Linked DNA regions of Bombyx mori. Each later gene encodes a partner of the first gene's protein in a complex. Links are inferred from orthologs where the notes say so. Each region holds a gene or a part of one and is shown on either strand. Other genes may lie near its edges.

What was found. Proteins that work in one complex are often made in the same cells at the same time.
Region 2: DNA replication licensing factor Mcm5 (region 1) and probable DNA replication complex GINS protein PSF2 share a complex: the UniProt entries of both Homo sapiens proteins name them as parts of the CMG helicase complex. The link is inferred for Bombyx mori from reciprocal best matches to the Homo sapiens genes MCM5 and GINS2.

What each region holds. Positions count from the first base shown.
Region 1 is NC_085131.1:8,499,306-8,503,569, forward strand, and holds the start of DNA replication licensing factor Mcm5, read right to left. Parts: upstream 2,801-4,264; 5' UTR 2,692-2,800; coding exon 2,537-2,691; intron 2,463-2,536; coding exon 2,315-2,462; intron 2,302-2,314; exon of another isoform or gene 2,006-2,301; intron 1,373-2,005; coding exon 1,265-1,372; intron 1,115-1,264; coding exon 942-1,114; intron 646-941; coding exon 567-645; intron 386-566; coding exon 227-385; intron 113-226; coding exon 1-112. Other genes in the region: dynein beta chain, ciliary, read left to right, coding at 4,193-4,201. UniProt on the Homo sapiens protein: Acts as a component of the MCM2-7 complex (MCM complex) which is the replicative helicase essential for 'once per cell cycle' DNA replication initiation and elongation in eukaryotic cells.
Region 2 is NC_085116.1:1,524,802-1,528,758, reverse strand, and holds probable DNA replication complex GINS protein PSF2, read right to left. Parts: upstream 2,801-3,957; 5' UTR 2,268-2,800; coding exon 2,023-2,267; intron 1,582-2,022; coding exon 1,409-1,581; intron 1,136-1,408; coding exon 840-1,135; 3' UTR 376-839; coding exon of another isoform or gene 298-375; 3' UTR 177-297; downstream 1-176. UniProt on the Homo sapiens protein: Required for correct functioning of the GINS complex, a complex that plays an essential role in the initiation of DNA replication, and progression of DNA replication forks.

The DNA.
Region 1 (4,264 bases):
CTTCTGCAGTAAAGGGTCTCAGGCCGCTAGTGACACCTTCCTCTGCGGTGAGCCCTACGGCTCGTAGGTACGATGACCGGACGCCTACGGAGCCTTTGTCGCGACCCTCGCGCTGTAAATGTCAAATCACGAACTACAATAATTCGCAGGCTCGAAGTTTTGATAAAATCATTGGCATAATTATTATTACTGTCATTCTTAAATGATAGTCATATTCAGTACTAACCCCTACTTTTGCTATCTTTTTTATAGAATAAATCCCCAAAACCGTGACTCGTGCGCCTGGTGCAACACGTTCGCATAATGTACGATCACAGTATACAGTCAAATGCCTTGGCATTTCTCCTTGTGGAATACTTTCTGGTGCTTCTTGAAGTTTCAACACCTGTAAATTAATTTGAAAATCACTGTTTTTATATCTCTTATTATTTCTAAGATATTCACATGTGCACACTAAACTAAACCATTAATACTTTTAATATGATGCATTTCAAAACATTTCTGACAGTTATAAATAGAAGTATTGTAATGTAATTTACATAATGACATCTTAATACTACAATTACCTGATAATCGATACATTTGCATTTGTCGGGAATAATGAAATATGGATCTAAAGGACATTTAGGACGTCCAGATTGTTCTCTGAAAATTGAAACATGAAATGTGTAAATGAAAGAACAAAAATGAAGATAAATCACGAATGAGTTTAGGGAATATATTATCTAGAGCAGTCTCAAGATATAACCAGGGTATAGTAATTGAGAAACTTTCTTCCATAGATTCTCCTTTTTCTTCATATAATAAAACATAAGATTAGTGGCTTAAAATCAAAACTGGTATGACTCAGTAATAGAGAATATTTACTTTAGGTTCAAATTTAGTGGTCCCAAAGAACATACTATTTTTAAAATTGGGATACTTTAATGAAATTAACTTACGTATTGCATTTTCTTGGCATGACATATCCTTCCAGACCTGGCTTCACAGGAAGATTGGGAATAACATTGCGGCATGAGCGACATTGTATGGATATTTTTGTGGCTTTTGCTTTAATACCGGATGCTGATATTACAATACCAGGAATCTTCACTAGTCTTGATACAGTTTCTGACTAAACAAAATTTTTCATTTTGTATTTTGTCATATAATCAACATTTATTTTACTAACCTAAATGTATAGACAAGCTCATAACGAAATGTTAATTAAATTTGAATCTGTTTACTATTTTTAAATTTTATAACTAGATAAATATTAACTTACTTTAAGCTCCCTCAAATTTGATGAATGTGCATCTGATGACAAAAGCACTTGAATATCCTCAACTTTCTCCTCACCTTCTGGTCTCGGTGCAGTCAACTCATCAGCTAACTGGAAAATGTACATTAGTTGATTGCAACCTTTAGGTGCTGCATATCAAAACAAGCAGAGGTTAACAGATTATAAAAAAAATAAGTTTTTTTTTTTTTTTATTGCTTAGATGGATGGACGAGCTCACAGCCCACCTGATGTTAAGTGGTTACTGGAGCCCATAGACATCTACAACGTAAATGCGCCACACACCTTGAGATATAAGTTGTTAGGTCTCAGTATAGTTACAACGGCTGCCCCACCCTTCAAACCGAAACGCATTACTGCTTCACGGCAGAAATAGGCAGGGCGGTGGTACCTACCCGCGCGGACTCACAACAGGTCCTACCACCAGTAATTAGGCAAATTATAATTTTGCGGGTTTCACTTTTATTACACGATGTTATTCCTTCACTGTGGAAGTCAATCGTGAACATTTGTTGAGTACGTATTTCATTAGAAAAATTGGTACCCGCCTGCAGGATTCGAACACCGGTGCATCGCTTCAACACGAATGCACCGGACGTCTTATCTTTTAGGTCACAACGACTTCAAAACAGTCTCTTTCTTATGTAGGTTAAATTTAGAATGTTGTTACACTTATCTTAAGTGTGATTGAAAATAGTATGATAATGACTATAGCTTTATTTCCAGGTGGATGGTGGCATTCTCGTGTATGATGTTTAGACTTCAAAAAAAACTAGTCAACTCAGCCTATTTACTCCTTATCTAGTTTAAAGATAGTTTTGTTTAGTAATACCTTTAAATTTTTTATGTAAGGATTTTAACAGCTCATATACACTGTATTCAAGTTTTACTATATAATAATTTGGTCCAAAACAATTTAATGTTACAAGTCTCTTTAAGTGGGTGTGCATTGTCAAACTATCCACAGTTTTATTGAAGGAGTAATAAATAATTAGTTATACCATAATATTATGTATCAACAACTTGTCTTAATACCTCTTTAGCAGCTTCTTCTAGTATAGGCAAATGTTCAGTTGGTTTCTTGTATAATTTTTCAGCAAGAACGTCATCAAAACTAGACAAATCTTCAATATTTATCTCGACCCAATATTGGTTTAGGTTATAGTTGCGTTTGAGGGCATCTCTACAATTTGTATCAAGGAATGAAGTTTAGTTTGAAATCCTATGCTAGGTACTGGTTAAGAAACGATTTTTTACCTGTATTTGTAATTGAAGTTTCCAGTATGAAACTGTCTCATGAATTCTTTGAATTTCTTTTTGACTGCTTGTAAATTAACATGATCTTGAGATTCGTTTTCTTCTACACCAAAATTATCAGAGAAAAATACACCAGGATCATCAAAACCTTCCATGTTACTAAATCACAACCTAACTAACCCGTTATATGTTATTTAATTTAAATTTAAAACTAATTTTATCGTCACTGACAAGTTTACCTTTCCCAAACACATTTAATTGGCGCGAAACTTTTTTTTTTAAGGGATTTTATGACCTGGTTACTAAGACCTTTAGGTCAAGTCTTATGTTAATATAAATGATAACTTTTTTTTAAGTTAAATGATATTATGAAATGAAGTGAAGTTGATTATTAAGAAACATAGCATGAAATGAAATGAAAACGAAATAAAATGAAATGAGATGAGATGATATGGGATGAAATATTGTCTCAGTAAAATAGTGGTTATTTATTGAGACTTTTTGGAAGATCCCGAGAAGCTACATCCAGTGCCTTTGTTTCTTTGCCGCATTTGTGCAGGTCTATCCGATGATTTGCAAGCAAAGTAAATTGTCCTTTCGTAATAAGATGACATTATACAAAATTTGCATACGTCCAGTCATGAACTGTGCAAGTGTAGTGTTCGCTCACGCGGCTCGAATTACTTTGAAGCCCCTTCAAATCATCCAATTCTGTTTTTGCAGGATAGCCGTTGGAGCACCGTGGTTCATGAGGAACGTGGATCTTCACGACGATATGGAGTTAGACTCCATCAGTAGGTGTATACAGTCAGAATCGGTGCGTCATTTTGAGAAAGCGGCTCGACACGAAAACCCTCTTGCCGTGGCCGCTGGTAACTACATACCCGATCTTGCGGACCGAAACAGTCGACGTCGCCTTAAGCACGTCATTTTGGATCCTCCTGAGTAGGTGCTTTTAGGTACCTCGAGCACCGGTCATCGAAACCGTCGCGTGCGACGAAGGGTTCGGTAAGTAAATTAACCCACAGACACAGCTCACTGAGTTTCTCGCCGGTTTTCCTTTTCAGTCGGTTGCGTTTCCGCTCCGTTGGTTGATTCTGCGAAGTACTGCTCTTGTTGGGTTATTGTTAGTAACGTCCTCAGGTTAGACCCCCGTGAGCTCACCTACTAGTTCAGTGACGCTGGCATAACCCTCTAACGATACCACCGTAGGTAGAAAAAAAAGTGATTCATGCCTTCCCGTTTGGATTGGGACAGCCACTATGCAATTGAGACCTTACTGGAGCATGTTGACATCACAATGTGGATGTTGGCACTGCACTTGAGTAACAAAACACCAGAACAATTTAATTAATTGAGCTTGAGTTCGAAGGCTCAATTTCAATTTAATAAAATCATTATACCTAATATTTTTATTTTATTTGTTTATTTCTCTTTAAAATTAAAGGAGGTGATCATTTTTAACATTTCATCGCTACTATTTTAAAACCTCAACTGTTTGTAAAATTTAAATTACGGCGGGGTTGCTATGGTTACGAATTTGTTGATTAAATATCGATCGATTGTTTTGAGTTGTATGCAAATATCTCTTATTTAATTACGCAAAATGAAAGTATAACGAATGTTATCTAGTTAATTTATGAGTCAAATTTAGTCATGGGAGATGTAAGTGAAAATAGAAGTTATTTTTAATTAAATAGGAGGAGATATTTTTATAATTATTTTGCC
Region 2 (3,957 bases), on another chromosome or scaffold:
AATGGTCCGCGCGTAGTTGAACAGCCCCGTAGGCTACCGAAGATTAGGCAGTGAAAAATAAAAACTGTTGAGATTTGAGGTTTCGGTCTAAAACAACAGGTTATCAAATGTTTAATATAATAAGATCAACTCTAAATGCATGCAATTTTAAATATCTAAAAAGAATAAAAACAAGGTTACAATAAGTGTTTTTAATGTTATTACCACTTTTTGATTGTTACCAACCACTTTGTTACAAAATCATTAAAAAGTATTAAGAACTTACTAAACTTAAACTACACTTAACTACACTTAAAACTATGTATTTTGAGAGCTCCCTGATTGACTGAAGGTTGAACTATTTAAATTGAGCGATGGTGCTGTCTTTTTCGTTTTCTGTAAAACAAAAAGTTGATTATTTGTTACAAAACTGTACTGCAAGTACATATAAGAATAATTGCACTCAGATCTTCAATTTTAAAGCCCACCCAAATAACCTTGCTAAGCATCTAACGGACAACCAAATGACAACAAGAAGACTGAAGAAGAGTGTCTTCAGATCTACTAGATCCAGTGTAGATTCACTGATATGGACATTGTGCGTGTACTGCCTATCAAATTATTTTTGTCAAAACTACAGTTGAAAGTCTAAAGACAGCTTACTGTAATTTACTCTATAAAACAAATAAAAAAATCTTCAATACCGAATTTAAGTTTAACAATGATATTGATAAGACCAGGTTTACAAACTCCAAATTACCGTAGTTACTAAACCTTAGGTTAGCTGAACTCACTGCACACTCACAGTTTTAGTTTTGGTAACACACATCATCATCACAACAATGTGATTTGCCCTTCTACTAGGACACGAGAGTGAAGTCTAGAACAGAAATCCAAGGATCCTTCAGAGTAGAATGCATAAATGTGTCACGTATAAGATGGTCCGAAGGATGGTACATACATTCAGAGATATTCGTAAAAAGGACAAAGTGGAGATGAAAATACAGAAGGATGTGTCTAAAGGAGAGTATATTACAATTTGTCACACATGTTCTTACCATTTGCATCCTTAAGAGGTTGTCCATAGCAGCAGGTAGAAGAGGTTTCACTGAGTTTATTTCCATCATTGTTAAATGATCTAATCTGCCATAGCCACCTGAAAATGTCAATTATAAATGTCCTGAATTTAACTTATGACTGAGTAAGTCACATTCTATATTTTTTTCTTATCTTAATTTAAGCATACCATTCTGGTGTTAAGTTGTTACCGAAGACCACATATCATCATTATAGGCTTTCTGATCCATGCAGGTTTACAATATCATCAGTTACAATAAAATAAAATATAAAATCCTCTCAATTCAAAAATCTTTAAAATGTAAGTTAAAAGTACTTAAAAGTAAAGTATTTTAAAGGAATCATTACAAACCTCCAGTTTTCATCAATGCATCCATTGATGTTCGTAACTTAGACATTCTTATATCCCAGATGTCTTTGATAATAGTCTTTATTTCTGGTGCATTGGGAACATCTTCGGCAGCTGAACCAAGTATCAGTTTGGCTTCCACCATATAGTGTTCATTTGGCATCTTTGTGAAGAATCTGGTAGTTTGATAATTTTAGGAAGATTTAATGTGAAAACTTTGACTACTACAACTACTTGCTTTATCTTGCTGATAATTCTCAAACGCCATTTAATGATAGATTTTATATTTACACACCCTTTCATGAGTACTGGCAAAGATATATTTATTGACCAATGAACTTCAAGTTTTTTAATCATGTTACAATTTGAGATTTATTAACAGGTAGACCACTAATAGTTATTGTTTAGTATCAGTGTTAGAATGGATGGCTCTAGAAGGTATTTATAACATAAACCATAATAATAAAATATACTTTTTGATTTAAAATTAAGACATGGAAGTTGTATAAACAAAATATTAAATTGTATCTGGAATAAACTGGACCACCTAGAAAGATCAAAGTTTTGAAACTGGTGTGTTTTGTAAAAAACCAAATTTATTAAATATATTGACAAACCTGGAACGCTTTTCCTCTTCTTTAATATTCTCCAAAACTTCCACGTCCATCCAGTCAGGAGGGATAACATGGCACTTTTGTTTCTGCTTTAGCATGATAGCCAGCCAGAGTGGTACGTTCACAGGTAAACCAGCACGAAACGGACCAAATTCACCGCATATCAAGTATATTTTATCATGGGTAAAGTTTGGTGTTATACTGATTATCCGATTCTCACCAATAAACTCGATTTCATAAGGTTCCATTATTATTTTTATGGTTTTAATAATTTATAATCATTTAATAATATACATATATTTAATTTAATTCATTTTGGTTAAAAATTTAGGAATATTACCTACCTTTATCATGTTTTTATTTATCATATTTTTTTAGGTATTTTATATTATGACCTGGTAACTAAGACTTTTAAGTCATGTCTTATTTTAATTTATACTCTTATTTTTATGAAAAATGATGAAATGAAATGAAGATAATTAATTTGAGACATTAATTAACTGGGATGAAATCAAATGAAATGAGATGAGATGATATGGGATGAACTATAATCTCAGTAAAATGGTGGTCATTTACTGAGATTTTTTCGTTGGACTTTTGGAGGATCCCGAGAAGTGACGTCCAGCGGCTTTGTTTCATTTTCCCACATTTTTGCACTTTCACAGATATTAAACAGTTAATAAACCACCATTATTACACATATAAACCCAAGAAACACTAAATAGACAAAATAAAACAAAACACACAACTTCACTCCTCGCGTTCCCGCCAAAAAGTCGCCTTATCTTTATCACTGATCTCAAACGTCATAGAGCGAGATTAGTAGACTTGCCAGCTAAAATCGGTACATTTGTACTATTTTGTACCCAAAATCGGTATTAGTCAAAAAATATACAATATTCAATCAAATGCGTTTATTTATTGAAAAAAAAACTTACATACTAATTTATAACAATCATATTTAAGAATAAATATTTTTTATACCAATATTGTTTGGCCATAGCTGCAGTCATCGTTGAATTAATTTCAAAATCATAGCAATTAGCTGTATTATAGAGTCGTTTTGCATGTAATAGACCAGTGATTGACTCAGTAGACAGCCTATTTCGCTGTTTTGTTTTCAAAAGAATAAATATGCGTTCAACGTTAGCGGATGAATAGGAAAGTGATAAAATATTAAGGATGAAATTAGACAACAAAGGAAACATTTGAGTTTCATCGCCACGTTTTAATAAAGTTACTTCTTCCCAAAATAGTTCTACATCATTAGGAAATGTTTTGATTTATTCACAATTTCTTAAAATGCGCTACTCTATCAATTTCCTGGAAATCATTGCTCTGAACAATATTGGGAAAGAGCCTACTTTTAAGTAGTATCGAAGTAGTCTTGCCAATTTTAACATGTTTTGGATCAATAATGTCTAAAAGTGTCAAATCGGTAGAAAAATCGGGAGAATTTCCATGTATACTCTGAAATCGTAGAAAAATCATTTTATTTCGGTATTTCAATAGATCAGTGCCCATATCGGTAGATATACCGAAAAATCGGTAGGTTCGAGACCACTGATATTTACTCTTGTTTATAGAGCTTAATTGTTTGACTTTGAAACTCAAATAGTAAGTGTTCTATGCTTTGACATACTGACATAGTGATGCAGATTTTTTGGCGGTAAGTGACCACCATTTTACTGAGATTATATTTCATCCCAGTTGATTAATGTCTCAAATTAATTATTTTCATTTCATTTCACTCCATATTATCATTTTTCATAAAACTATGAATATAAATTAAAATACGAAAATACGAAAAATGACCTAAAAGTCTTAGTTACCAGTTCATAAAATCCCTTAAAAAAAAGGAAAATTGGCGGGAATAACGTTTAAATAATACGACTTAGTAGATCGAATTTATGAAATAAGTTTCATAAATCCAGTGTT